Rhinolophus ferrumequinum: one gene and its partners. The protein of the gene in region 2 purifies or fractionates together with the protein of the main gene of each other region. This does not show direct contact. Links are inferred from orthologs where the notes say so. Each region holds a gene or a part of one and is shown on either strand. Other genes may lie near its edges. The genes, in order: PRR36, FBXW7, NAP1L1 and MED13L.

Region 1 (7,267 bases), about 33 Mb from region 2:
GGGTGAGTCAGGGCGGGCGGGACAGGAGCCGGGAGCCGCCCCACCCGCCCCGCCCACCTGACGTCTCGGCCCTGCCTCCCTCAGGGCGCTCCCAGGTGGCCCCCGACTCCTGGCGCCCGGGGATCCCTGGAGGAGGGCGACCCTAATCCTGGTCTTCCCGAGGTGGGCCAGGGCCCGGCCCCAGGAGCAGGGCCTTGAACTCAGGGCTTGGCTGCCATGGGGCAGAAACTGGACTGGTACATACTGAAGGGGTCGGAGGCACTGCGCACCCAAAGTCAGCCTGCAACATCCTTCTGGGAACCTGGGGAAGGCCTCCTCCTGCCCCCACCCCAAGGTGCAGCCACCTGGTTTTGAGGAACCTGCAACCAAGGTCCACGGGAGAGGGAGGGGGCTTCCCTGACCACCCACCCAGGAAAGCCAACCTGGGGGGTAGGGTGGGGAGGTAAGGGGAAGGGCGTGGATGGGAGGTGCTCGCCTGTCCGACCCTGCCCAGCCTTGAGGCTGGCTTTCCACTGGGGGAAGATGGGAGTTAGCTGCTCCCAGGTCCTTAGGTGGGGGTGGGGGGGTGCAGAGGCCAGAGGGGCTCTGGGTGCTGGGGCTAGAGTCCAGTCTGGGAGGCTGGCTTCTAGAAAGGATGATTCTGCCTCCCCACCCCACTCTTCTCCCTCGTGCTCACCCTTTCCTCCCTACCCAGGGAGGCTTGCTCTCGGTCTTAGACTAGCCAAAGGACCGATTCAGCCCACAGGTCTGTGTGAATGAACCTTGATCTGCTTTGTCTGCAAAACAAAGAGGATTTAGACTAGAGTGGGAGCGTGAGACCCCTCCCCCACTTGGCCCCAGAGTTCACCAGATCAGCAGCCTCCTGAGACCTGATACCTTGAAGGTTGGAACGCCCTAAACTTAGGTTCCTCTGTGAAACCCTGCAATGGGTGCTACCCTCTAGGACTCAACCTCTGTAAAGTCCTGGGTTATCCTCTCCTTCAATGGCCTCTTCTTGCCTCCAGAGAAGCGCCTTGGTTTCCATGCCCTGAGGTTTGTTTCCAGCTTGGTTTTGGAATGAACATCCAGCTTGGCACCCTTATGCAAGAGTCTGAGGTCACTGGGCTGGAAGCCTCATTAGCCCCAGACACGGGTCCCTTCTGTTCCCTGCTGTGTCCCCAGCACTTGAAATGGTGCCAGACACACAGTTGTGGGCATTCAGTTAATGATGGATGGGTGGATGATCGAGGTGTTATCTTAATTGTGGATTTTCTGGTTGCAAACCCTGAGACAAAGAATTGGGTGCAAATAGTTCATCTGGAAGGTGATCCCCGCTAGCACTAATGGTGGGGCAGTGGGGAGATGAGACTGGGAAGGGAGGGGAGCAGCAAGCCTTAATGAGGGTACATCAGTAAGGATGAATGAGAAGGTTGCTACTGTGGGCAACCGGGGCTCCCTTCTTCTGAGGAGCTCTGGGCAGTGGTGGAAGGCACACCTCCCCAGTTGTCCCACCCAAGGGACGAGGGAGTTGAAATATTGATGCGCAGGTCCTGTCTGTCTTGGCTGAGGGTTGCTCTGGAGAAGGGGGATGCAGGGGTGTTACCTCCCTGGCACTTCTGACTTTCCCTGCACGTGGGGACTGTGGGTGTTCAGGTTATACAGAGGGGGCGTGCTGCTGCAGTACAGACACGAGTGGAAAGCCTGGGTCATAAGACACACACACGCACAATGCTTTCCAGTTGTTCTCCAGAAAGGCTGCCCTCTTTACGTTCCCATTGGTAATGTGTGGATTTTCCCACATGGATAATACCCAGCCTTTAAAAAAAATTGTGGGAAAATACATATAACATAGAATTTACCATCTTAGAGGTGGTTGGTTAGCTCAGTTGGTTAGAGCGCAGTGCTCTTAACAACAAAGTTGCCAGTTCAATCCCTGTATGGGCCACTGTGAACTGCACCCTCCACAACTACATTGAAACAATTTCTTGACTTGGAGCTCATGGGTCCTGGGAAAAACACACTTAAAAAAACCCCAGAATTTACCATCTTTACCATTTTTTTTCTTTCTTTTTTCTTTTCCCAAGTCAAGTTGTTGTCCTTTCAATCTTAGTTGTGGAGGGTGCAGCTCAGCTCTAGGTCTAGTTGCCGTTGCTAGTTGCAGGGGGTGGAGCCCACCATCCCTTGCGGGAGTCCAGGAATCGAACCGGCAACCTTGTGGTTGAGAGCCCACTGGCCCATGTGGGAATCGAACTGGCAGCCTTCAGAGTTAGGAGCATGGAGCTCCACCCTCCTGAGCCAGGGGCCAGCCCTCTTAACCATTTTTAAGTGTACAACTCAGTGGCATTGAGTGCACTCACAATGTTGTGGAACCATCGCCACCATCCATCTCCAGAACTTCCTCTTCTTCCCAAACTGACACTCTGTCCCCATTAAACATTAACTCCGCTCCCCAGCCTCTGGCTCCATCATCTACTTCCTGTCTCTATGAATCTGACTCCTCTGGGGACCTCATATAAGGGGAATCACACAGTGTGTGTCCGCCTGTGTCTGGCTTTTCTCACTGAGCATCATGTCCTCAGGGTTCGTCCATGTTGTAGCAGGTGTCAGACTTTCCTTCTTTTTTAAGGCTGAATAATCTTCCATTGTATGGATGGACCACATTTTGTTTATGCACTCATCCATCGATGGGCACTTGGGTTGTTTCCACCTTTCGGCCATTGTGGATAATGCTGCTGTGAACAAGAGAGTGTAAATCTCTTGGAGTACCTGCTTTCAATTCTTTAGGTGGAATTGCTGCTTTATGTAGTTCTCTGTTAATTTTTTGAGGACCCTCCACACTGTCTTTCACATTTTTACATTCCCACCAATACAAGGTTTTCCATTTCTCCACATTTTCACCAACACTTGCAATTAATACCCAGCTTCTAAGGTTTTGTGACCCTCAGATAGTTAGCTAGCTGCATAACAAATTACCCCCAAATCTAGCAGCTTGAAACAACAAGCGTTCATTATCTCACCCAGTTTCTGAGGGTCAGGAATCTGAGAGTGACTACAATGGGTGGTCCAACAGTCTCCCTCCCTCACCGGCCCACAGAAACCACTGATTTGCTTTCTGTCATTATAGATTAGCTTGCATTTTCCAGAATGTTCCATAAATGGAATCATACAATGAAGGCTCTGTGTGTGTGTGTGTGTGTGTGTGTGTTTCTGTGTGTGTGTCTTCTTTTGTTCAGCAGAATGTTTTTGAGATGTGTCCCTGTTTTGGGTGTCTTGGTGGCTTGTTGCTTTTATTGCTGAGTATTCCATTGTAGGGTATGTTTGCTTTGTGCAATTCATCCCCCTGTTGGTGGACCAAATTTGAGGAATGTTCTCATATGAGGGTAGAGTCCAGATCTCATTGAAATTCAGGATGGGTTCAATTAAGTCTTGGAGGGACCCTTGCACCATAGAAAATAGGAGGGCAGGCCTCTGGGCAGCAGATATGACTCAGGAGGGCACTGCTGGTGGACGGGTGGGCGAGGAGGCAGGGGCACCAGACAGCTGTCATGCCAGAGGGGCTCACACAGGTGACCTTCAGTAGACCTGGGAAGGAGGGGAGGCCTAGAATGACCCAATACGGAGGGGAGTGCCGTGATGGACTGAGAAGCATCTCTCCTAGGCTGGAGGGAGGGTTCATGGAAACGATGGGTTCTGAAGATCGCTCCTACTGGTCAAAGCAGGGTATTTAGTTCTAAGCCTGGCCTCTCTCTCTCTCTCTCTCTCTCTCTCTCTCTCTCTCTTTCTTTCTTCCATTCCCTGAACCTGAATCAAGAAAATCCAAACCCCTGCTTCCGGCCACACCTGAGTGTTCTGGGCCGATTCCAGGCTACTAATCACCAATGTTGTGGCTGGACCAGCCCTGGTGGTTATTATGATTGTAAGATACCTTGTAGGACCTGGAAATTACATAGCACACCTGGGGCCACACAGTGTGCTTATGGGAGGATGGGGGAGAGAAGAGGCGAGAGGGAGAGAAAAAGAGAGAGAATGAAAGTAAGTGACCTGGGGTTTTGCTTTTGTTGGGGTAGAGAGTGTGGGAGCCTAGGGTTTTGTGAGCTCACTCTTTATTGATGAATTTAAAGCACGGGAAGAAAACAAAAGTGCTCCAGTTATTGAAATCAACCAAGATCGTCTCTGCTCCTTTATGCGCCCGTTTTGACACCTCCCAAACTCTCATAATCTTGGTCCCCCAAAGCCTGGCTCTGCTAGGAAGCCTTTACTGACCTGACCTCGCCTCTTCATGTGACCTAGGAGGGTGTGGAGGTTGGGGGTGCCCTGCCTTGCAGCAGACTGGCTTACCTCTCACCATACTCAGTCTCTCTCTCTCCCTCTCGACCTTCCTTTCTTCCTCTCTTCTCCCAAATCCGGGTTCTGCCCCTAAATTCCCAGGGATGCATTCTCCCAGTAGTCCCCCCATACCGGGTAGGGTTCTTGCTGGGGTCTGGGAAAAGCCTTTGTGTTTGGGAGGGGCGGATGCCTCCAGCGACCCTGGAAGGCCCGGCCTCCGGAGAGCGGCTGCGGCTGGATTGGTCGACGGGGCGGGAGGTGCTATGGTCCCGCCCCCTAGTTGCCAGGGTCCAGCCTATCCCTTCAGGCGAGCCTCGGTCTCCAGGTGGTTGTGGGGGCCGGGACAGGTGTGTGTGGGGGTGTGGGGGTGGAGAGGCGGTGGGCAGGACGTGTGTGTGTGTTTGTGTGTGTGTGTGTGTCTGTGTGTGAATTCCTTCTTCCTCCGAATCCCCTCGGGTTGGGTAGCGGGTACTCTGGCGCAGCCGCGGAGTAGCCGCCCCTCCCTCCAGCGCGCGCCTCAGTCCGCGCCTCCGTCCGCACCACCCTGGCGCGCTCCCGCCGCCTCCCGGGTCTGGATCCGGCGCGTGCGCCCGGGTCTCCCCAGCCCGCAGCGGAGGGGCGGGCCCGGCTCTCGGCGCCACAGCCCGCAGCCCCCTCCTCTCGCCTGTCCGCTGCTCGCGGCCGCCGAGGCGCTGCCACCTAGCCCCACCCTAGGCGACCCTGCGTGGAGCCGCGGGAGACCCGAGCGGGAGGTGAGAGCCGCGGCAGCAGGTGGAGGGGGCGGCGCGGCCCGGGTCCGGCTGGGGGAGGGGGACGCGCTCGTTACGCGGTTCTTTGTCTCCCCGAGCCAGTGCGCGGGCAGCCGGAGTTGCTCCTCCCGGCAGGTGCCGGCGTCCCTCGGGCTGGCGAGGGGACCCGGGAGTACGCTCCATCCCCATCCCATCTGGAGTCTGTAGCAGCCCCCAGTCCCCGAGGCTGGTGGTCTAGGGGTAGGGGCGTGGATCTTGGATCCCGAAGGGGAGCAGAAGCAGGAGGGTGGGGAGGTGGGCTGGGGCAGGCAGGGTCTGGTGGAGGGCGATGGGGGTGGGACTTGGGGAAAATCATGAGCAGCTCGGCCGGTGTGTAGGTGGGTGAGAGGGAAGTGGATGGAGGCCGAGGTTTGGGCGCCTATGGGTGGCGACGCTGGGGAAGCTGCAGCTAGGTGCCAGGAACAGGTCCCTGCAGGCTGCGTAACGGTCCAGGATCTGGGATGCTGACCAGTCTGTCTTCTCATTAGGTACAGGATGGACAAGAGGGACAAGTCCAGGGCAGGGACCGCCGCGCGGACGCCGGCTTCTCGCCCTCCCGGCCTTCCGACCCCTAGGCCCCCAGGGTCTCCACGACCCCCTCCTCCTGTAACCGGCGCAGCCCTCCGAGTTCTGGGAGCAGCGGGAGCTGCAGGGCGAGGGCCCCTGGCTGACAGAGCCGGGGGCATCCGGGCAGCCGCTCTCCCGGAAGCAACTCCTCGCGTGGGACCCATGCGGAGCCCCGGGACAGGTCCCCGGAGCCCAGGTACCCCTCTTTCCCCGATTCCAACCCCGTATCCCTGCCCCCCTTTCCTTCCGAGGCACCAGCCTCTCCCTGCTTTCCCGGATCACCGCATAGACTGGACCTTTTTCCGGCAGCCTCCAGGACCCCAGCGGCGGGGCGAGGTGAGCGAACTTCGGCCAAGACCTCGAGTCTGGGTTCTATCTCTATCCCAGGAAGTGCCAGTGGGACCACCAGGTAACACGCCTTACCCCCTTCCTTAGGCAAAGGTTAGTATCACTCTCTGGAACCTTTTAATTTTATACATGAATTGGGGCGTGGGAACACTTGCAGATCACTGGGCTCAAATTGGGTGAAAGCCATTCTTGGTAGGCAGTGAGCCCATATACCCCATTTCACAGATGGCAAAATGTGGACATGGGAGGTCAAACAAGGAGGGGGTGGCTCTACCCTGAATACCCTCTATCACCACCACCCCCAGGGTAGGTCTTCTTGGGCAGAAGGGGCTCCGGCTCCCAGCTGAAGAACCTGTGGGCAGAGGAAGAACTCCAGAAGCTCCCAGAAGAAGCACCGTGAATGCAGGGGCCCGGAGAGGTACATTTCCTGGGCAGGGAGGAGCAGGGCTCCTGGGCAGTGAGGGGGACCAGCCTGAGAATATCGATGACCCTTTGGCCTTCTGCTTTATCCCCAGACTCTTCCGGGCCCACCCCAAACGTCCCCTCTCCAGCCAGCTCCCGTCGGACCCGAGGTGCGGGCGCTGAGGGGGGGCTTCCCCGGGCAGCCTCGAGTGCCCGTCCCCGGGCCCAGATTGAGGTCCCCAGGAAATCAGTGAGCAGCACCCTAGAGCGCAGCAGCACCGCGGAGCCAAGCTCTGCCGCCAGGAGGCGACCCAGCGCCGGCGGGGGCCTCCAGAGGCCAGCCTCGCGCCCCCTGGGCTCCAGCATCACCCCTTTGTCCTCCCCAGCCCGCTCTGGGGCCTCGCTGGGTGGAACACCCCGGGCTCTGGGGCACCCTTCGCAGCCCAAATCGAAAGGGCTGCAAGCTCTGCGCCCCCCGCAGGCCGCACCCCTAAGGAAGGGCGCAGCCAACCTGCAGAGCCTTTCTCCTTTGGCCACATCATCTCCTCCCTGTCCAAACGCACAGCTGGCACTGCCTACCGATATCACAGCCACTCCTTTGCAGGATGCGCTCCCGCCCTCTCCACCGACCACGCCTCCTTCCCAGGCGCTTACAAGTACTTTGGCCACGCCCTTCCCACTAGCCCCTCCTCCCTCTGCTCCACTCTCTCTGCAGGCCCTCCCCTCTCCGCCGGCCACACCCCCTTTGCAAGCTCCACCCATACACCTGAGTACATCCTTTCCCGAGGCACCCGCCTATCCCACGGCCACTTTTCTGGCTCCATTCTCTCCTGCAGGTTCACCCCTTCTGCAGAGTA
Region 2 (7,360 bases):
AAAATGAGGCATTTCCTGGCCATTTTGTCCTTCCTTCTGATTTTTTTTTTCCTCCTTAGCAGTTATCACCGTCTACTATAGTAAATATTTATTTTGTTTGTTGTGTGTCTTCTTCTCCCCCTGGAATAAACAAGTTCAGTGAAGGCAGGGGGATTTTTATCTGTTTTGTGTGTTGGTCCATCTTCATTACCTATATAACACATGGTAGGTGTGAGTAAATAGTTGAATAAGTGAATAAACGAATGAATGGGAACCAGAGCTCTTGAAAAACTGAGGACATGGGATTTGGCCAAGGACAGAACCAAGGAGAACCCCCTTGAAAATTAACCCTTTGGGACTTACCGAAGAAAATGTCGGCTAGTACTTACAAATTTAGGGGGTTAGATGCCATCTCTCCCTCATGGGACTGTAAAGCCTTAAAATATCAAACTTTCAACATAGTCTCAGCAGTAGGAATCGCTATAAAATAATTCAATTATACTGTAATTTCTCTGATTGTCTTTCATATAGTCTTAAAAGTTTTTCTTCCCTAATCATCTCTTTACTACTGAAAGGCAATCCCTTTTGGAGATGTCTTTTATTTAAAGTTTATGTATTCTCATGAAAAAAATTTTTTTTAAAACAATTGATTTTGTATAGGCAAGATGAATTTTAGAAACTGTTCTTACGGTTTCTTTTTATATTAAAAATATATAATCTTGCATTTTTCCTTTTCCCAACAACTGATTTTTTTTTTTTCAAGCTATATGTGTTTGCCAGCTAAATTTTAATGTCTTACTGCATGGACATCATAATTAGCAGTTATCTATTATACATCTTTTAAAAAAATAGATGTTAGTTTTCAACAGTACTGTGAGACACAGCTGGTAATAATTATACTCAATAATTAAGATGACTGAAAGTTGAATATTAAAATGACATCAGTGAAAATTCAGAAGCATTTTATATTTGATATTCTAAAGTGAATGCTTTTAGAATCATTGCTTTTAAAATTACTGAAGTTGTTTTTATAACCCCAAACTGTAAGCCTTGAATTAAGGAAAAATGTGAACAGAAATATCTAGTGAGTCTCAGTTTATTTGGCTTGGGACCCCTTTACATTCTTAAAAAACTATTGAAGACCTCAAAGAGCTTTGATTTATTTGGGTTATATCTCTCAATAGTTACCCTATTAGAAAGTAAAACTAAATTTTAAAAGTGTTCATTTATTAAATTCAATTAAAAGTAATAGCTAATTACATGTTAACACAATTAACATATTTTTTTTGGAAATAGCCATATTTTCCTGAAGTGAAATAATTAATGAGAAAGATGACATTGTTTTACATCTCTGCAAGTATCTTTGAAGTCTGGCTTAATGGAAGAAAGTTGAATTCTCATATTGGCTTATGCATTCAAGTCTCTATATATGATATGTCGTCTGAGGAAAACTTACTAGTGTGTACTCGAGACATGGATAGTGAAAAACACAATTAACATCTTAATATTATGAAAATAATTTTGATCTCGTAGACTCCATGTAATGGTCTCAGGGATCCCAAAGATTCATATTTTGAGAACTGCTAGAATTATTTCTCACGGGGATACTATATATGGCAGTAAAGAGTTTTAAATGAAAGAATAGTTTTAAAAAATACTCTCATATAGTAGTGTCCATTGGGTAAGTTTCTATTTGATACATTTTACTTTAGGGTAACTATTGAAGTTAGCTTGTGCTTACTTTATAAATTTGGGCATTGAGGGAGGATGGTCTGGTTTGTAAATTATACATCTTTTAGAGTGCCTTGTAGAATGGTTACCTTATTTCTCAGAGAAGTAGAAATTAATTAAATAGAAATAGATTGTTAAATTTTTGAAACAAGTTTTTGATATTTAGAGTTACTTAAAATTAAGGCGAAAAGCACAACTTTAAAATGCAGTTTATTTAAAAAATAATGTTGCTTCATTGTTATTGGTGAGCAAATATTAGTATTGTCTCTTTTTAAAAGTATCTATAGCTAGACTATTAAAGTTAAATATTAACCGTTTTTCCTAAACAATATTATGTTTCTTTTTCTGATAGTTTTTAAGGCTTTATTTTTATTGGTTTGCTGCCTTCTTCTATCTGTATGAATCAATAGTACATTAAATTAGTTGACACGGAAGGAAAAATAATATGTAATGAAAATAGCCCTTATTGCTTCCATTCTATTTTAATTATAACTAATATAAGATCCAGAGGGTATTGGTAGGAGGATGAGAGGGGTGAAGCATTACATGTCTAGTTATTTCACAAGTAATCTATACTTTGGGTCTTTTATTTCATAGTTTTGTTTAAAAACAACATTGATGCTGAGTAGCTAGCAATTCATAGCAAAATGCATTTGGTGGGGATTTTTATTGATGCTTGTCTGTAATATTAGGCGCAATGATTTATTTATAGGCTTTTGTTAATTATAAAGGTAATAAAAATCTCAAATTATTTGGGCATGTTATACATTTGTCGATAATAGAAATCATAGGAGGTTTTAATGCTCAGTACATTGTTCTACGTTAGGATGTTGTAGTAATGTTTTCATTACCTCTCTTGGCTTCCCAGTCTCGCACATTAGCTAGGAGGAGTGTGCATCAGCTGTAATAAGACCTTTCCCCAGTGTGTCTGACATGCATCTGAAAATATGACAGATTCTAGATTTTAGAAGTTCTGTTGTTAAATCGTATAAGCAACTTAAACTGATAGTACTTCGCATTTTCCACATAATGTGCTCTTTCGATGAATAGCTGTGAAGCAGCACGCAGGAAAAGCGGTTCTTGGCAATACCAGCTCAGTTGCATCTGCAGATGAGGATTTAAAATTCTATGCAGCAGACAGTACCTCCAGCAGGCGAGTAAAAGGTTACTGCATTATTTTGCTTGTTTGTTTCCACAGCCTTTATCTACAACAGGTTTTTTTAAAAAATTCAATGTGAAGTGCATGCCTGTTTTTAGATATTCTGGAAATTGATTTAAGTATAACATGATATCAAAAGGGCAGTGCAAGGTGAAGGAAGAGGCAATACTGGCTCTTTTTAGCTTTAAACCAAGGAAGAAATTGAGCGTGAGGCATGTACAAATAAAGAACCTTTCAATGCCACAGAACACAGGAAGTTTTTAAAATATACATTTTAATTCAAGGTGTTTCTTATTACATTTAGTTTTTAGACTATCTTCCTCAAAAAAGGGTCCTGTTAAAAAAGATTGATAATCGTAGGTCTGTGAATATTCACTAAGTTACAATTATTTGAAGTATGATTATTTGGGAAGACTATAACATATTTGTATTAATGTGACCCTCTCTTGTCCTGGAAATTATAATGTGGATTATAGTTACATGGTGTAAATAAATGCCTTTACACAGTATTGACAAAAAAGGATGCTTCAGTATAAAATATACTACAGTATGGCTAACATACTTAATACTTTTGCTTATATTTTTAGGGTGGTTTATATTTTTTGAATCTTTTTGATGAGATGCAAATAACCCAAGTTGGAGAAGATTCAGTGTCAAAACAACCAGATTTTTAATGGCTTTTCACTTATTATCAATACCTACCTATAGCCACAAGCCCTTTTTTTTCCTCATTAAAACTCTTCTAACATTTATGATGTCAGGGGACTCCTTGGCTTATCATTATCTATACCACTATTTTTACTGTAGAACTTTATTGCTCCATATTTCTCCAGCCTAAGTACAATATTCAGAGAGAATTTTTGCTATGCATATCAACGACCATCCTGCCCCCTCCCAGCAATACTCATAGATTTTTAATAGCTACTGTATAAATTTTGTTTTTTAAAAATTCTTATGCCTATGTTTCTGTGTTTTAGATTGACTTAATAAGATTGAAAATGATCCTGTAAATTAATCTATAATATACAAGTAAAATCAGTTGATTATTCTTACTGTGAGTGCTTGGCAGGCTTCTTGAATCGTGGAGTCATAAAAGGTCAGCAGTTCTGATTGGTAAGTTAAAGAATCCGTCCAGTAATTTGCTCCCTGTTGTTTCTCAGAGCAATGCAGCAGCAGTTCTTTTCCAGATATTGAGCGGTTCTTGAACAGTGTGTATGGGGACAGGGAGGGGTGGGGCTCATTCCTGTTGGTTGTTGAAATAGTGAGCATTTACAGAGGGAACAGGTTGGATAGGCTGAGCTAAAGGAGTAGGCAAACAGATCTAAACTGATGGAGGACAGAAAAAGTGGTTAGTATAATTTTGGGGTATATTATCTTGAGTTTGCTCCTTTGTTAAGGACTTGGGTTTTAATATAACACAGTTTGAAATATTAAAGCACCTTACCTTCTTTCTAAAGAGTAGCCGGGAGACTTCTGTTTTTAGTATCGAGTTCTTCTTGGCGATGAGTTTGTGGCTGGTACCTTCTGTAGGGAAGCTGTTTTATTCTTTTTTAACAGTGTTTCTTTCAGCCAGAGAGCTGCAGAATGAGGCATTTAGCCAATTTTGAGTATATATGGGACCTCACCAGTTCTGATTTTTAAAGTTAAATCCTCATCTAATGAGCAAGTCAATGTGTGGCTGTGGCTGCAGCATTATTTCTTCTTTAATGAAGAGGTTGAACCGTTCGACCTGCTGCTCCGATCTGTTCTCTTGTAGCCATACATCAGACCAGTTGCAGAGATTATCCATCGATTGTCCCAGGCAACCAAAGGTAACTACATAGATTTATTTCAAATAAAAATATACAATTAAAATGGATGCATTATAACTAGTACCAAATGATTAAAAATAAAAGACCAATTAAAGATATTCTTAGCAGTTTTCTTGACCTTGCAGTAGCTATCCAATATCATTTTGTCATCATCAGATTGTGTAGCAATGGAAATGCACTGCAGTAATTGATTTTGTAATAGGATCAGGTGATTTACTAGCTGCACTGACAACCACTTGCTTGCTTGCTCTGAGCTGTGGAGCGCTCTAATGGATGTTGTGATTGTAGCCTGGACTGGATGTGAGACTGCTAGCTACTTAAAGCAGCAGCACTTATTTTAAAAATTAGAAAGTAAGCTTTCCTTTTTCGTTTTCTTTGCTTTAGGTTTTGGGAGGCCTCAATAATTTTAGTTAATTTGAGTACCCCCGTGAACTTTTAGAGATTATATGTTATTTCATTCATCAATTCATAAAAAGTTCATTGGTACTAGTAGCCTTGAAAATAATGAAATACAATCTCTCTGCTCCCTACTCCTCGCTCAGCAGCAACAGATGTATCAACATATCTTGAAAATATAAGAATTTTTTTTAGCTACCGTATATTATCTAAATGAAACAAAATATTCTTAACATTTGCAAACTTCATCAGTTTCAAACTCTTGCTGTAAATATAATAATGGAATTATGGTAAATTCTTACACTAGTCGGTTGTGTTAGAATTGTTTTGTATCTTTTTGGCCTTTTGCATTCTTAATGGTTTCATGGATATAACAAGATTTAGGAAATCTGAGTTGGACCAATTCTAAGGAATATTGATGAAAACATATAGTAGCTATTTTATGAGACTGACGCGCTGCCTACTGCGCTAAGGAGGCAGGTTATAGTAGCTATTTTAAAGTAATGTTTAAGAATATAGCAAAGTAAAAACTTAATCTCCAAGAGTATGAATTTTCAGTGGTTATGTTTTTAATGATCTTCGTTTTCATATTTATTCTATGCCTTTTAAACAAATAATTGATTACAAATTTAGAAGCTTAGGACTAAAGCTTAAAGTAGAATAGAATATTCTACTGTTGCAGAAAGAAAAGACTTTGTCTACATTGAATTTTTGCTGAGTGGCTTGCATTAGGAAATAAAATTATCTCCCTTCTCTCCCTTCCTCACCAACTCCTCTACCTTTCTAGTTATCTAGTATGTAAAGTGTTTTTCACAGAATCTGACACAAAAACACTGAGTTCTCTGTCCTTCCCTAATTTATGTTCTTTAACCATGTTTATGTTCTTGCCATGATAGAGACACTATTTCTTCCAACCACATCTAAAAACACTTATATAAATTAAATATGTTTATAATTTGCTATAAAAGAAATTGGGCATAAGATTACCATTATATGGTATTGAAACTACCATGTGAAAAAAGCTTTTCTTTGCAATGTATTTAAATACTTGCCCTTAGTGTTTGAGGCCTAGTGTTTCTTAAAAGATGCAAATATTACCAGTGTCATTGTGTACTTTATCCTGAATTGAGATGCTTAAAACATTAATTATGGAAGACTGTAATATGATTTAAACACTAGTGTTTGTAATCTTTTATTATTCAATAGGTAATCACTTTATGCCCCACCTCCCCCCCGCAAAAAAAAAATACAAAACTCTGAACACTGATAATACTAACATAAGTATGTTAATGTCATTTGAGATTTGGTCAAGGATGTGTCTAAATTACAAATATTATTGAAATGTTAACTGGTAGGTTATCTACAAATTAGTCACTGATAAAAGTTTCAGTAGAATGATGTACATTAAAACTTTTTTGCAACGGGTTGAGCAAATAGAAGGAAAATAAGTGAATACCAGAGTGTTGACTATTTCTTTCTTAAAGATTGTTTAGAAGAGATGGAAGATACTATGATTGTTCTGTATTTATACAGTATTTCATTTAAAATAAATAAGCAGTATACTTTGTGAAGTTCTAGCCCCAGGGAACTGCCTGTTCTTACCTTGAAAGCCTACCTGTACTTGATTCAGCCAGGCTCTGCCACTAATCTACTTGATCAGTTTTATTTATGAACATGTTTAAGGTTCCTTAAACATACTCCTAAAATGTTCATTAAAAAGAAATCAATTTGCTCATACTAGTGTGAGGTGTGGTAATAGTTGACCTGGAAGCTGTAGAAGTTGGAGTTAGGAGGAAAGATCAAATTTTTTAAAGAATCGGTCTGTAGGTGATAATGAAATGCCTCCTTTCACTTTTCTTGTCTTTTGGGGGGGCGGCATGCTTTTGCCAAGAGCGCTGTTTTATCTTTTTGATATCCAGTATTCTCTAAATAGAATGCGTATTCTGAATAATTATCCTAGTTCTTAACAGAACAAATTTGGGATTAAATTCTGGAACTGCCAATTTTCCCCATGCTCTCTAACAAAGATAATGCTATTAAACAGCTTATTTTAGTACCTAGCATATTTTTTAGTAATCATTTTTTAAAAAGGTAGCCTTTATGTTATTAATTCTAGTGCTTACTCCTTATATGGCTTACCATATTGGCTGTGTGCACTCCTCTTTGTAGCCTAGGCAAAGTGATTTTTGGGTTGATTGAATAGGTACTTTCGAGATGATCATGTCATAATAATTATAACACGTATTTATGGAACCCTTAATTTGGACCAGAGGCTATACTAAGC
Region 3 (7,229 bases), on a different chromosome or scaffold from region 2:
ATCCGGGACTACAAAGGACATGTGGGTTTGGGTGTTAAGTGCTCCAAGGAGGTAGCCCCTGTCATCCGTGGGGCCATCATCCTGGCCAAGCTCTCCGTTGTTTCTGTGCAGCGAGTCTACCGGGGAACAAGATGGGCAAGCCCCACACTGTCCTTTGTAAGGTGACCTGCAGCTGTGGCTCTGTGCTGTGCACCTCATCCCTGCCCCCAGAGGCACTGGCATCTCTCAGCTCCTGTGCCCAAGAAGCTGTTGATGATGGCTCATATTGTCAACTGTTCTACCTCAGCCAGGGGCTGCACTACCATGCTGGGCAACTTCTCCAAGGCCACCTTTGATAAGTCAAAGACCTGCAGCTCTTTCACCCCTGACCTCTGGACAGAGACTGTGTTCATCAAGTCTCCCTTCACGGACCATCTTGTAAAGACCCACACCAGAGATTCTGTGTAGAGAACCCAGGCTCCAGCTGTGGCCGCCACATAATTTATACAAGAAAAATAAAGTAAATTGATCCTGTTAAAAAGGAAAAAAAAAAAAAGAATTATTAAAGCACTTTACAGATGGGGAAAACCTAAGGGTCAGAGTGTACAGATACATGTGGGAGGTCAGAGATTTGGTTGAATCTACGCCTGTCTGACTTTCAAGCCTATGTATTTCCTACTACTTAGGGGCTGAAATACAGACACAGGCACACTTAAAATATCATCTCTGTCACTGTCTTATCTGGTTGATCTCTACAGTGTCTGTATTCAGTACTTAGAAATATGGGATATTGTACTTTTGTGATAATCAGTGTGGATCATTTCAGCTCAGGAAAACATGTTTCAAAATTTGTGACAAGATAGCTTTTGATAAAATATTTCACAAAAATGTGTTAGATACTATTAGAAGACTTACGGGAAGTTTCTCCAACCATTAATTAAAACAAAAACAAAAGTTTACGATGTAAGAGGTTTATGATGTTTAACTTTTGTTGCGTGTTTACTAAATGTCAGGTACCATGCTAAGCAATTTACACATTGCTTAAAATTTCACAACAAAATAGGGACAAAACTTGGGCTGTTTGACTCCCAAAGAGCCACACTTCTAAACCACCAGGCTTTTACAATGCTATAAAAATCTACCAACTGAAAATAATGGGAGATGAAGCAAAAAGGAAGTTTAACCGGAAGTTTAGCATGGTCCAAGGTCAGTGACCAGGGCCACAATTTATAGTAATTAGATGAGTTAGCTATATTGTGTGACTTGAGGGGTCAACGTGCAAATCTCAATGGTTTCTTTAGGTCAGTCATCTTCTACCCCTTTGTCTCATTTTATTTTCTTCATAGCACTTTCACTTACTAATATCTACAATTATTTCATTTCTCGTTTGTCACTTGCCCCACCTCACTGGAACGTAAGTTCAATAAAATCAAGAACCTTGTCTATCTTGTTCAATACTGTATTTCCAGTGTCTCAAGTTGTTTCCAACATATAACTATTTGTTGAATGAATGTATAAATGATTGGCCTTCCCTGGACTTAAGTAGCCAAGGTTTAGACTTACAAACTATGATTGAAAAGATCACATTAAAAGATATGCATTATTAGCACTTTATTAGTATTTCACTTTTAGGTTAGCTAGGACACCTTAAAAGAAAGGGAGGAGGAAGCTGGAGGAAAGAGCTGGAGAAGGGTGCTGTAGAAAAGGGGGAAATAATGTATATAAACTGGTAATGATAAGCCCTTAAATATGGGAGTGGGGGTTGAAACGTCAGAAATTTGGAGACTTTGGTCAGTGCCTGAAATTTGTGGGGGTCCCTGGAGTGGGACAGAAACCATCATGAAAGCTAACTTCTCAATTCAGTCTCATTAGTTCTACCACTGAAAAGGTTTATGGAAAGGAGAAAGCTATTTAGTTCATTTTTAATATGTTGATTATCTTGCATTATGTATAGCTTTGAATAAAATGCAGAGCGCTCTTGAGGCCTCCACTGAAATTAGTGCCAAGTGTATGTACATATTGGACACTGGCCTACCTAGTTTATGTTTTGTGGATTCTTCATGAGGAATCATCACTGATGTTATTATAATCCTTGTTAGCCTTACATCATTGTCAAGTATGACGTACATGAAGAAATAAGGTTGAGAAATACAAAAGAATCACACATGAAGAACAAAAATGAATGGATAAACTGAGCACCTGTCGCATGGAGTGGGAAAGGCAATGCATTTCAATGAGATATGGGAGTGAGGATTACAAAAGATGACTCCAGGCAGTTTGAAGTTTCAAGGGACGAAACATTTAGAGAAGAGGTTCTCAAATTTTTTGGTCTCAGGACCCCTTTACAGTTTTAAAAAACTGAGGATTACAAAGAACTTTTATGTGCATTACTGATATTTGTCATATTAGAATTAAAATTAAGAAGTTTTAAGAGTAGATTTTAAGAGTTGTTATTCATTATCTTATTTAAAAACAATAAGCCAATTAAATGTTAACATAAAGAATATTTTATACGAGAAACGTTGACCCCAAAACAGAAGATACCCACTAAGAAGGGCTCAAATTTAAAACCAGAGTTTCGCAACCATTTTCTAAATATTTCTCTCATATGCTTCAAGAAAAACCCTGTACTAAGCTGCCTCGCTCCCACATTAAGCCGTTTGCCTCCCGCCTGCCTCATAGCATATGATAAATATCAACCCTTTTAAAGGAGTTTCTGGAATCCCATTTCAACCAATAGGATTGAGACTTTCCCCATCCAATCAAAGCTGTACAACTCTATAAGCGAATGTATGTCACTGACCAATCAGAGCTGCTCCCTTTTAACCAAAGAGGACAGTGCTTTTTGGACCAATCAAACTGTGAGGATCTGAAGTCCTCATTTGCATGAAGATGGTCCAATCGGGGACCAGGAGTGGGTACCTCTCTCTGTATAAGTCAGCTCCCCAGTGGCTCAGAGAGAGCACTTTTCCTTTCCATTAAAGATTGTGCTTCGCTGGCTGGACCTGAAATACTGAAGAGGCTTGTGGACCTGGGAGAAGCAGAGGAGAACAGAGCTATCTATTAGAGAGGGGACTCTGCTCAGGCAGCCTCACAGTCCTGCTATTTCGTACATAATTAAACAGCTCTATAGCTATGCTGTATTAGGATTGAGCTATATGTAGTTTACCACAAATTGGGGGTTCCTGTTGTCATTGAATTGGCGCCAAGACCATGGTTTGACCAAAGTAACTATTTTTTAAAACACAAAAAGTTAGAATGGCATTGTTTTATATTTTTGCAAATCTCTCTCTGGTTTAACAGCAGATGGCTGGATCCTAATAGTTGCTTCTGTTTTCCATGTTTCCATATCACATGTCATGTAGCCTCTGGAAAACTGCACTGTGAGAGAATGAGCGTGCAAAAGGCAAATGACGCTTTAGTAAATATTAGGAAATACTTTTGACTTTCACCTGTGAAAGAGTCCGAGAATCCTCGGACCACACTTTGAGAACCACTATTTTAATATTAGTCATTATTAAAGTGGATATTGGTCAATCCTGCATCAGTTGAAAACTAGCCAAGCAATTTCACAGTCCTGAGGATTTACATAGGGTTTCCTTTTTCAGGAATATGAAACGACTGTCCTCATTATAAAGGATCCGGAGAATACACAAACATGCCATAAAACATCCGTCAAAAGAACTAAAGCGGAAATGAGGGATCGCACGTCAAGTAAAAGGATGTTGGAGTAAGAATGAGGAGCACCCCAGGAAGCCATGGAGGTCCACTGAGTGAGGAGAAGCAAAACCGGTAGAAGACTCCGCCAAAGGGAAAAAGTGGGCAGGGAGAGAAAATGGTTACGAGGAAGGGGAGTTGCAGGAATTAGGTTGGGAAGAGGACGGAAACTAAAGAGCACTCGCCCTAAGGATGCGGCAAGCCCACACGGGGCGGCTGGCCCCAACCTTCATCCCTCCCTGCACCACACTTAGGCGGGCGAGGTGGACCGGTCCAGGCGCCCGGGTCAGGGCCCTTCCCAGAGCGGGAGGGGTTGAGATTTCCTTTCAAGGTGAGGTGGGGGAAGAGTTGGCGGGTACGTAGTAGGGGGCGGCGGCAGGAACCCAAGGAACCTAAGCAAGGCGCAGAGGGTTGGAGGTCGCCAGGGAAGAAGGACAGTTCTGTTGCTATGCAACCCGCCCTAGGCCCGCCTCCCGCTCACGTTGCTAGGAGACGGCGAGGCCGGGGGAGGGCGGCTGAGCGGGCCCTACGTGCTGACGCTAATTGTATATGAGCGCGAGCAGCGGGCTCTCGGGTCTTTTTTAGCGCCATCTGCTCGCGGCGCCGCCTCCTGCTCCTCCCGCCGCTTCCCTGAGTCACTGTCTGCGCAGCTCCGGCCGCCTGGTTCCCCGTGCTGGCCACCGGTAACGGATGGGGGCCTGAAAGGGAAGGAGGAACGTAATGTCGGCCGGCTGGCCGGCGCGGAGGGGAGGGACGGGGGGATGGGGGACGGAACCGAGAGCAGCGGCTGCTGGCCGCTCCGGGCCTCTCGGCTCGTCCTAAGAGGTCAGAGCCGGAGCCGTCCGCGGAGTTTCGACCCCGTAGCCTGCGAGGCCGCTGGGATCGGCCGGCGCATTTTCCGGGAACGGGCTAAGAAGATGCGGGGGGTTGGTCGGCCCGGGAGGGTCGGGGGCCGTGCCAGTCTGCGCCGAGGTGCCCTGAGCTCCACCGGCCTCTACGCGCGGACGGGGGCGAGGCCGCGGCGTCGCCCAAGGCGCCCCGAAGAGGCGACGGCCGCGCCGCTAGGGGCCGGGAGGCTCCCGGGGTGCGGGCCGGGCGCGAGTGCCTAGTTTCCTGCCGCCTCGCTGTCCCAGCTTTCTCAAAACTAGTACCCGGAGAGAGGCCGCTGGGGAATGGAAAGAAAGGTGGAGGCTGCGAATTCCGATGGGAGGGAGGGGCTGTGAAGGGACGAGGCCCCGAGGCAGGGAGGGGGCGGGGAGGCTGCGAGGCTCTGGGGCTCTCCGCCCATTGGAGGCGGCGACCGTGCTGGGCGGGGAAACCCCGGCGGCTTCCTTCGACACGTGGCCGCCGCCTAGGACAGGTTGGCGACCCCTGTGTCTGTTGTCCTTACTGAAAGTTGTAGAGACGGTGGGATGTGAAAAGGAATAGTGAGCCCATAGGTTCAGCCCCTGGGTTTCAGACTCATCCCTGCTTCTCTTTGGTCTTCACCTTTTTATTGGTTCTGGAGGAAAGTACGAATGTTAGGTGATGGATAATGAAGCAGGGCCATCAGTGCTAGATGTTTAAAAGAATTAATGCTAATGTTAGTTGTTCTTAACAAAAGATTTTTTGTGTAGCTCAAGCCCAGTTAGAATTTGGATGGGTGTCTCTACCAGGCTTTTTTATTCGGGGAGAATTGATCCTAATCAGTGTAATCCTCTAAATGGTTCTAAGATGGCAATGCTAGAGGATTTAGTCTGCAATGTCTTTAATTTTTCAAGGACTAATATTTTCTTATAAATTTGTTCCTTTATTGTAGTTCCCAGAATGAGATACTCGCTCTTTTAAGATGAGTGGGGTATGGTGGAGAAACTAGGGAATGGAATGAATAGTTAATGTAAACTTATTGATCCAAGTTTGTAACCTGCTGCCTTATCAGTGACCCCACTTTTTCCTTAAGAAAGAAGGCAGTGAAGGGGGGTGGGAAAGGGAGTCCTATCTGGGAATGCTAGGGTTTCAGTACAAAAAATGAACTGAGTGCAGGATGTCCTCAAGGAACCCGTATTTTAGACCATCACTGTCTGATTAGTTACTTTTGTAATGAAAACACCGCTTGCCTGGTTTGTGGAGAGCTGAGCTTTAAAACGAAATTTGCCATTTTTGAATTTAGCATCAAAATAGCGTTTCAAATTAGTATTTAGGTCTTATTTTCTTGTCAACTTGAATTAATACTACTTCTACATTTATTTTACTTAGGAAATAATATACATTCTCTTTTTTTTTTTAAGGATTTTTATTGGGGAAGGGGAACAGACTATTGGGGACAGTGTACTTCAGGCCTTTTTTTTTTTTCCCAAGTCAAGTTGTCCTTTCAATCTTACTTGTGTAGGGTGCTGTTCAGCTTCAAGGTGTTGCCCTTTCATTCTTAGTTGTGGAGGGTGCAGCTCAGCTCCAGGTCCAGTTGCCATTTATTTCTAGTGGCAGGTGGCACAGTCCACCATCCCTTGCGGGAGTCGAACTGGCAACCTTGTGGTTGAGAAGACGCGCTCCAACGGAGCCATCCGGGAGCTCAGCGGCAGCTCAGCTCAAGGTGCCGTGTTCAATCTTAGTTGCAGCGGGCGCTGCCCACCATCCCTTGTGGGACTCGAGGAATTGAACTGGCAACCTTGTGGTTGAGAGCCCACTGGCCCATGTGGGAATCGAACCGGCAGCTGTCGGAGTTAGGAGCATGGAGCTCTAACCGCCTGAGCCACCGGGCCTGCCCCACATTATCTTTGAATAAGGGGAAAACTTTATACTGTAAATCCTCAATGTCATGGATAGGTTCTTTGACTTTAAGCGAAACGATGTATAAGGAAACCAGTGTTAGGAAAGGCTAATGGTTATCAACAAGGGTTAAGTTGTCAGAGTATCTAATCAACTTTGACATTGAATGAAACCATGATAATTGAAAACCTGTTGTATGTAGATTAACTTATTTAAAATTGATAGGAGGTAAAAGAGGTTTACAGTGATCTGGGAGTACTAAGTCTCAAATGCTTGTTCAAAGTTGTCCGAGTTCAAATGCGCCAAATCTAAAATGTGCGATTCACTTTTTAAGAAAGATAGAGGGTAGGTGAAATTAAACATTGGTAGGTCTGTTTGGACATGTAATATAAAAAGCTTGACTTCATTGTCTTTTCAGGTCAATGTTACGTTGATTTTGTAAATAGTTTTTAAAAATTCACTATACCTGTTTGAAAATCGATAAATTTTATGTGTTGCAAAGTATCTATTTTTGATGTTGGGTCTATTAACAGAGAACGTTATTAAGCTAATACTAAATGTGGTGTTTGACTGTCTTTGTCCTCTAGAGACTGAAAAAACAAAATGAAAAAATAACCATTTGCACCAGAACTAATTTAATCCAAAATGCTGTTGCTTGTTTCATTATTTACTTGACTTGCCCATAGTATCCACTTGACTGATTTGATTCTAAACATCCCAAAATTTGTTAAATATACAGTCTTTTGTAGGAAAGGGGGCTAAAAGAGGCAGAATCTGTTCAGCTTCAA
Region 4 (7,717 bases), on a different chromosome or scaffold from region 2:
GTGGCAGCTTCCTGTGGTCTTTCTAATAGGTGGTTCCTCCTCTGGTTATATTTTTGCTTCCATTTTCTCTCTGCCATTACATTTGGTAACCATGAAAGGGAACTAACCTGTCATTCTCAGAGTGAGATCTGAGGCTAGTGCAGAGTGGAACGTCTGTTTCCTGTGTGGGCAGCAGGCATTCCGACACAGGGGGAAACCAAGTCATAAGGACGCCTGTGATGAGCACCCCTCCCCCACACCGAGGAAACTGGACTCCATATTCCGAGTGCCTGCTGCCTTGTTGCTTCCTCGTAGTCAGTTGATGGTTTTGTTTTGTTCGCCTTTCATCTTATCTCCTGAGGCTTTCCATCAACTCCCTTTGCTTTCTCTGTTGAGTAAGAACTCCGCGGATCTTTATCAGTCATCTCAACTGTTCAGAGAGTCAAAGAGTTTTGTTGCTAGAAATGACTGAAGGATTGCCCGGCTGCCCTTTTCACACATGAGGAAACTGAGGCCCAGAGAGGTTGAGTGGCTTGTCTAAGACGACAGGGCTGCTCAGTGGCGTGTCTGAGGCTAGAACCTCTGCTCCCTGCGTTCTCATTCTGTACTCACCTGGCAAGGACAATCACATGCTGTGCTCTGGCCTTTTCCACTCAGGGGCCTCGGCTTTGACAGTCAAAGAGATCGCCTCAGAGGAGGGTTTTTGTTTTTGTTTTTTGTTTGTCTTGTTTACTTGCTGATAAATGTACTTTTATGGTGCCATTTGATTATTCAGTTTTCATTTTTATTGATTGATTGATTGGTGGTGTTCATAACTTATTGCATTGAATAGATAATATACACAGTTTGGTAAAAAGAAAGGGGAAGGAAGGAAGGAAAGAAGGAAAGAAAGAAGAGGGAAGGATGGATAGAGGAGGGGGGGAGAGAGAGACAGAGAAGAGACAGAAAGGAAAAACAGCAAGTGAAAAGAAATTCCTCTCCTCATGCTGACTCCCGTCCCTAAAGGCAACTGATGTTACTACAATCTCCCAGGGATATCTCAATTAATAATCTATTTTTGAGATTATCCTATATTAGTACACATAGTGCTAACTCATTATTTTTAATGGTTACGTGGCATTAAATTATATTGTTAACCACTCCCTAAATGATGAACATGTAGGTTGCTGCCAGTTTTTGCTCTACAAACAGTACTACAGTTCATGTCCTTGCACACAGGTCTTTATATATCTACTCAAGTATCTCTGGAGGATAAACTCCTAGAAGTAGAATTGTTGGGTCACAGGATATGTGCATTATACATTTTGAAATTCTCCAAATTGACACCCAAAGCTGTGGTGCTAATTTGTATTTCTACTGGCAGTGCATAAGAGTTCTGCTCCTTCCACATTTGCCTAAGCTTTTAAAATATTGTCAGCACGTATTACGGTTTTAGTTTCTGTTTTTCTTATGATGAGTGTCTTAATGTTCGTGGGCTGCTGTAACAAATCACCATAGATTGGGTGGCTTAAACAACAGAAATTTATTTCTCACAGTTCTATAGGTTGGGAAGTCCAAGATCAAGGTGCTGGCCAATTTTATTCCTGGAAAGAGCCCTCTTCTTGGTCATGTCTTCACGGGTAAGGAAAGCAATCTCTCTCTTGTCTGTTCTTATAAGGGCACTAATCTCATCATGAGGGCTCCACCCTCATGACCTGGTTATCTGCCAAAGGACCCATCTCCAAATACCATCACTCTGGATATTAGGGTTTCAATATGAATTTTAGGGGGACACAAACATTCAGTCCATAGCACTGAGCGAGGCTGAGCATCTTTTAACATGTTTAAAAGCCATATGTCTTTCCTATTCTCTAAGTTGTTGATGTCCTTTGCTCATTTTTCTTCTAGGTTGCTCTGGGAGACCTTAAAAAGTTGAATCTAAACTTGCTGAACAAAGAGAATTTGGTGACCAAGTGTGTAGGATGAAGGCCTCCTGGGATGTAAATACACCTAGATATGACGGACCATCATACCGTCTCCTTGCTCAGTCCTAAGTAACACTGTGCATATTGATAAAGTGCTTTGGCTTTTTTTTCTAAACACTGTCACCACCAATCTCTTAATAGAAATGCACAACATTGACCTGAGGTCAGTGAGTCAGCAATTAGGATCTCTTTTTGACAGGTTAGGAAAGGAGGCTTAGAGAATTAAACGCAGTCCCCCCTTATCCACGAGGGATACATTCCAGGAACCCCACTGAATGGATGCCTGAAACCTCGGTTAATACCAAACTGTATATATACTCTATTTTTCTTACCTATGATATTTTAATTTATAAATTAGGCATAGTAAGAGATTAACAACACCTAATAATAAAATAGAACAACTATAACAATATATTACAATTAAAATGACTGTGATCTCTCTCTGATAACCGATCTGATAACCAAGTCGGCAGGTAGCATGTACAACATAGACATGGTAGACAAATAGGTGATTCATATCCCAGGCAGGACGGGGCAGAAAGGTGAGAGATTTCATCACACTACTTGGGTCTGTATGCAATTTAACGTAGGAATTATTTATTTCTGGAATTTTCCATTTAATATTTTTGGATCATTGTTGACCGTGGGTAACTAACTGAAACCGCAGATAAGGGGGACTACTGTATGTAGGTCAAGGTAACACAACCAGGGGTGCCCAAGCCAACTACAGGCACCTGCTCCTGGAGCCTTCTGGATTCAGGTCTGGGCTCTGGAGCTAGATAGACCCAGGTTTGAGTTACTCAGTAACTGGACAGCTTGGAGATGTCACTGCATGTCTGAGACTTATTTTAGGCTAAGGATAATAACAGTATCTTCTTTATGTGGTTGTTCTGAGGGTCATGTGCAATAATGTATGTATATTCGTTATAACATAGTGTCAGCCATGATAATACATTATAACATGCTGCTCATGCGTTTTCCTGTAGTAGTTATTTGTGGTAGTTCCAAAGCTCAATTCATGTGTGTAAGACTTCTTTTATTACACTCCATGTTCCTACTCTCTTTTAGTCCAATGCACCTAAAACAGCTGGCTTTTCCATGTTTTGGGGCTTGTTAGTGAAGTTGTTCTCTCCTCCCCACCTTTGCAGTGAGTAACCGGGAGACCCTTCTCATTCCCGCACTCCTCTGGACTCCCAGGCCATATGCGATCAGGAAATGTACATTATTGAATGAACGGAGCCAAGAGGGAGGGTCTGCTCCCAATACAGCCCTAGTACAGTGCCTGGCAGTTATATTCTGGAACAGAACAAGAGCTCAGGAAAGATTTATGCAATGAATGAATGAATGCACACAATGCCTAGCAGTAAGGGCTCAAAGGCATGTCTGTATTCCGTGCATATTGCCTCCTACACAGTAAGCGCTAAGTGGTAGCCATGTATATCCCTGGGCGAGGCTTATAAAACCTAGTGTAAGAGCTCAGCTTCACTGTGCATGGGTGCAGGGGTTCGAATTCCGCCTCCTCTTCCCCGCTATGCGACCTCGGCAAGTGACTTAATCTCTTTGACTTAATCTCTTTGTGCTTCAGTTTTCTCATCTGCAAAACGCGGACAACGGAGTGCGACCTCCACGAGACACTCCCCGTAGCATTTGAACCTCCTGCCTGGCTCACAGCGAGCCCCCGCCACGCCAGCCGGCCTGCGTCGATCGGGGGCACAGGCGAGGGAACTGGAGCTTTCCGTTGCGGCCGCCACCAGCGTTCCCAGGGCTCGCGGTCGCGCCCCGCAAAGATCTGTGCCCCCGAGGGGGCGGGGCGCGGCGCCCACGCGAAGCAGCCCACCGCAGCCTCGGCCCCGCCAGCCGCCGCCCGCCCGGGAGCCGCGCCACCCGCACTTCTTTCTCTCCTTCTCCGTCTTCCTCGGTCTCCCGGCCGGAGAACCCGGCCACGATTAGCTCAGCAGCGCCGCCCGCGAGCCGCCGGCGTGCCGCCGCCGCTCCGGCCCCTCCCCCGCCAGCCCCCGGCCCCCCCGCGCGGCCGGCGCCCGTCACGTGACTCGGCGCTAGCCAATGGCGGGCCGAGCCGCGGTCGGCGGCCGCCATTGCTGTCAGAGCGAGCGAGCCCGGGGAGGGAGGAGAAGCGAGGCTGACTGGGGAGGAGGGGGGGGTGGGGGAGGAAGAGGAAGGAGGGGACGTCGCTCGGCTGCCGGGGTCGCCCGCTGGCTTCGTCCGCACCCCCCCCTTCGCGAGTTCGCGCTCCGCGGCGGCGGCGGCTCCGAGGCGGCGGCGGCGGCTCCGGGGCTCGCCTCCCCTCACGCGCCGGCGGGGGCCGAGGGGGAGTCGGTGGCTGGAGATAAACAAGGCGGCGGCGGCGGCGGCTGAGGAACAGGGAAGGCGGAGGCGGCGGCCGGCCCGCAGCGCCAGCCCGGGAGGCAGCAGCGGCCCTGAGAAGCGGGGAGGGCGCCGGGCCGCGCGGACAGCGCCCCCCGCCGCCGCCGGAGCCGCGGGAGCCGCCGCCGCCGCCGCCCGAGCAGGAAGGAGCCGCGCGGCCGCCGCGGACCCCCCCGCCGGCCCGGGCCCGCCGCCCCCGGCGCGGCGTCGCCGCGGCGCCTGCCGCCAGCCCGCCGGCCCTCGCGCCCTCCCCCGGCGGCGGCGGCGGCCCGGCCGCCCCGCGCTCCCCAGCGAGGCGCCGCCGCCCGGCCCGGCCTCGCCTCGGACGCCTCGCTCCGACATGCCCCGCTCTGGCGGCCGGGCTCGCGGAGGATCATGACTGCGGCAGCGAACTGGGTGGCGAACGGGGCGAGCCTGGAGGATTGTCACTCCAACCTCTTCTCGCTGGTGAGTAGCCGGGCTGCGGGGAGGGGGGCCGTATTGGGGGGGGGGTCCACGACCTCCGCCGCCGACCAACTTTCTCCTCCCGCCGCCGGGACTTCGCCCCTCCCTCGCTTCTCCCCGCTGTTCGCCTCTTGCCGATTCTCCCCCTTTTGGATCGTCTCTCCCTCGCCTTGGATCCCATCCAGTGTTTATTTGGCTCTTTAAAAATCATTTGTGAGCGCGGCGCTCGGCGTGGAATTTGCATGTGGAAGTCTCAAAGCTGCTGATTCTGGGTCGCACTTCGAACGCCCACCCTCTGTTGCAATCACACCCCCCTTCCCCACCCCTTTCCCCCCTTTTTCCCCCTAAATGTGAAAGGCTTTGCCTTGTGCTGCCCGCGCCTGCGAAGCAGCCTTCTCCCCCCCCTTGTCGGATCGGCTGCTCGCCCGCCCGCCTTTTGAATTTTTTAAAAAAATTCCATAATGACACCTGCAATTTCGCCCCAAAACAGTTGATTGAATGCGATTGTGTCAGTAAAGGACTCTTGCACACGAAGCTCCCGCGATTGTAAACATCGACAGCCGCCTGCCTCTCGGGGCTTACTACGCTGGAGAGCCCTAAAGCCATTGCACCGAGCCGACGGAAGGTGGAGAAAGCTTTTTCTTTTTTCTCTCCTCCTGTGTCTTTTAAAAACTGTTTTCTCTATCCTGACAACGAATCCACACACACACAAAAAAGCAACAAGCTGGGCGGTTTGATAACATCGCTTTTATCTGCTTTCGCCTCTCTCGCGCGCTCTCTGATAATTGACAACTTTTCCTTCGGATTTGAATCGCCTGCCTTAATCTTGAAGCAGTTAGGGTGTCAATTGTTCTCCGGGAAGCCTGGCACCCGACGAAGGCGTCTAGATTCATCGAAATTAAAAATGTATAGGGCTCCAGCAACTCTTCCTTGGCGGTGGCAGTGACATTTGGTGGTAAATGCCATCTTTGCTTTTTATTGGGTCGTATTACCTAGCTCTGAAAACATTCACGTTGTTAAACCTGGCGTTTAGGCTAATAATGGCAGTGCGTGGTCTTTAAATATGTGCTTTGTGCATGAGTTACTGTATGTATAGCTATGTGCCCGGGAGACTACGAATTTGTTTAAATATTGAGCAAAGATTTGTAAACAGATGTAAGGCAATTATGTTTGAAGCGTAGAATATAATTGGAAAATTGGCTAAACGGTTTGTTTAATTTAGCCTTAAAAAAAAAACCCCAACTTATTTTAAGTTGCGTACCCTTTTTGGGGGGACTGCCTTTTGGACAGGATGCATTTTTGGAAATTGTTCTCTGTAACCTCTGCTGTAGATAGAAACATTATTTTCTCTTAATCCTTGTTTACACTGGATAAATAATTTAGTGTTGAAATTGTAATTACTTACACTTAATTATGAGTACCATAGATGCTTTTTTCTTTGAGACTAGTGGGTAAATACAAATTCTTGCCAACTTTTCAAATGTGTTATTTTATTAAATGTGTTTCATTATGCAGATAAAAAAATCAAAACGTGATTTTTATCTACAAGACTGGCATAGTATCCTTGCTTTCACTATAGTAAGATCAGGTCAACTTTTTTTTTCCCCCAGCATTTTTATTCAGATATTTAATCTTAAAATTCAATTATAAGTTGTGATTCTTCCTCTCAGTGCTGATGATTTTCACTTGATCTTTTGATATATGGGAATAAAACTCATTTTTCCTCTTCTTTCCTCCCTCTCAGTCTATCATTTAGTGTCAGTCAGGTTCAGGGACTTTCATAGATTAGCAAATATATTGATTAAGGGGTATTTAAAATGGTTTTTGTTTGGCGGCTGGTGACCACATTGACACTTTAACAGGTAATTAAAATAACCAAGTAGACCAATGTTAGTGAGAAGGGATCCTCCAAATTACCATATATCATGCTGACTGGTAATGTCTTCTATGTATGTGGCTGATTTATATACAGTAGATTTTGTAGACAAATGAAAGTGTATAATGTGTATAGCCAGTCTGTAGGATATATTTCTTTTTTTTTTTTTTAAGCTTAAGTAAGGATAATAATGTTAAAGAGATAAGATGATTGAGGTTCTTTTGGAGAAATAAACAATTTTATATGAGAGGATGCTGTGCTTTATGGCCTAATAAAGGTTTGTGCTTTGGATATTTCTGTCCTAAACCTCTTTAAACCAGGAATTGATTTTTGAATATACTTTTTTTTTTTTTAAACAGAATTACTCTTTAGTTTGCAATTTGGAAATTCAGAACTGCAGAAATGCATGAGTTGAAATTTTTTAAAGGACTGAAATGTCTACATTCACTTGTATGTGGCGGGTGGATAAGGTGCTAATTTTCTTAAAAAATTGTGACTCAGTTAAAAAGCTGCTGATTATTGTAAACGTTTCTCATTCCAAATTGAGAATTTTTCTTGAAAATCACACACAGCAACAACCTAGACTATTAAAAATATGTTGCCTAAAGTACATTGTATGGAATAATTAATTCCAAACGTGATAAAATCATCACCTGTTCAAAATAAAGCATGTATTGTAAGAACTCTATATACTTAATAATAGCGTATATTTTTCTTTTTGGTCTGCAGTTTTTTGAGCAGAGAAAAGTATTGTTTATAGAGAATTTACCCAGATACTCACATTTACATGGATTGAAATATAAACAGGACATTAAAGTCTGTACCACAGTAATGACCCACCAACTTTGTATTACCTTGAGGTGTTCATTATGGTTTAGCAAAAGTTGATTGTGCAATCAATCAGGTGCCTTAAGATTTTTGTTAGTCCTTTACTTATTTTGCTTTCTGATTTTCTACTGCATCAGTTTCTGTGGCATTAAATTTCCTAAATTCTCTGTCAAATCCTGCCCCCCTTTCCTAACATGAAAATGCCATTGTGTATACATGATATGGGTCATTGTATGTTTCT

What was found.
Region 1: the proteins of FBXW7 (region 2) and PRR36 purify together in Homo sapiens (affinity purification with mass spectrometry; 3 studies listed by BioGRID and IntAct, counting the BioPlex papers as one, with this or other methods). This does not show direct contact. The link is inferred for Rhinolophus ferrumequinum from reciprocal best matches to the Homo sapiens genes FBXW7 and PRR36.
Region 3: the proteins of FBXW7 (region 2) and NAP1L1 purify together in Homo sapiens (affinity purification with mass spectrometry, with the first as the bait; 3 studies listed by BioGRID). This does not show direct contact. The link is inferred for Rhinolophus ferrumequinum from reciprocal best matches to the Homo sapiens genes FBXW7 and NAP1L1.
Region 4: the proteins of FBXW7 (region 2) and MED13L purify together in Homo sapiens (affinity purification with mass spectrometry; 4 studies listed by BioGRID, with this or other methods). This does not show direct contact. The link is inferred for Rhinolophus ferrumequinum from reciprocal best matches to the Homo sapiens genes FBXW7 and MED13L.

What each region holds. Positions count from the first base shown.
Region 1 is NC_046301.1:56,861,118-56,868,384, reverse strand, and holds the start of PRR36 (proline-rich protein 36), read left to right. Parts: upstream 1-4,267; 5' UTR 4,268-5,057; intron 5,058-5,581; 5' UTR 5,582-5,588; coding exon 5,589-5,856; intron 5,857-5,969; coding exon 5,970-6,069; intron 6,070-6,313; coding exon 6,314-6,426; intron 6,427-6,523; coding exon 6,524-7,267.
Region 2 is NC_046301.1:23,865,107-23,872,466, reverse strand, and holds the start of FBXW7 (F-box/WD repeat-containing protein 7), read left to right. Parts: upstream 1-4,358; 5' UTR 4,359-4,527; coding exon 4,528-4,680; intron 4,681-7,360. UniProt on the Homo sapiens protein: Substrate recognition component of a SCF (SKP1-CUL1-F-box protein) E3 ubiquitin-protein ligase complex which mediates the ubiquitination and subsequent proteasomal degradation of target proteins.
Region 3 is NC_046293.1:70,495,124-70,502,352, reverse strand, and holds the start of NAP1L1 (nucleosome assembly protein 1-like 1), read left to right. Parts: upstream 1-4,225; 5' UTR 4,226-4,379; intron 4,380-7,229. UniProt on the Homo sapiens protein: Histone chaperone that plays a role in the nuclear import of H2A-H2B and nucleosome assembly.
Region 4 is NC_046308.1:10,238,457-10,246,173, reverse strand, and holds the start of MED13L (mediator of RNA polymerase II transcription subunit 13-like), read left to right. Parts: upstream 1-4,703; coding exon 4,704-4,775; intron 4,776-7,717. UniProt on the Homo sapiens protein: Component of the Mediator complex, a coactivator involved in the regulated transcription of nearly all RNA polymerase II-dependent genes.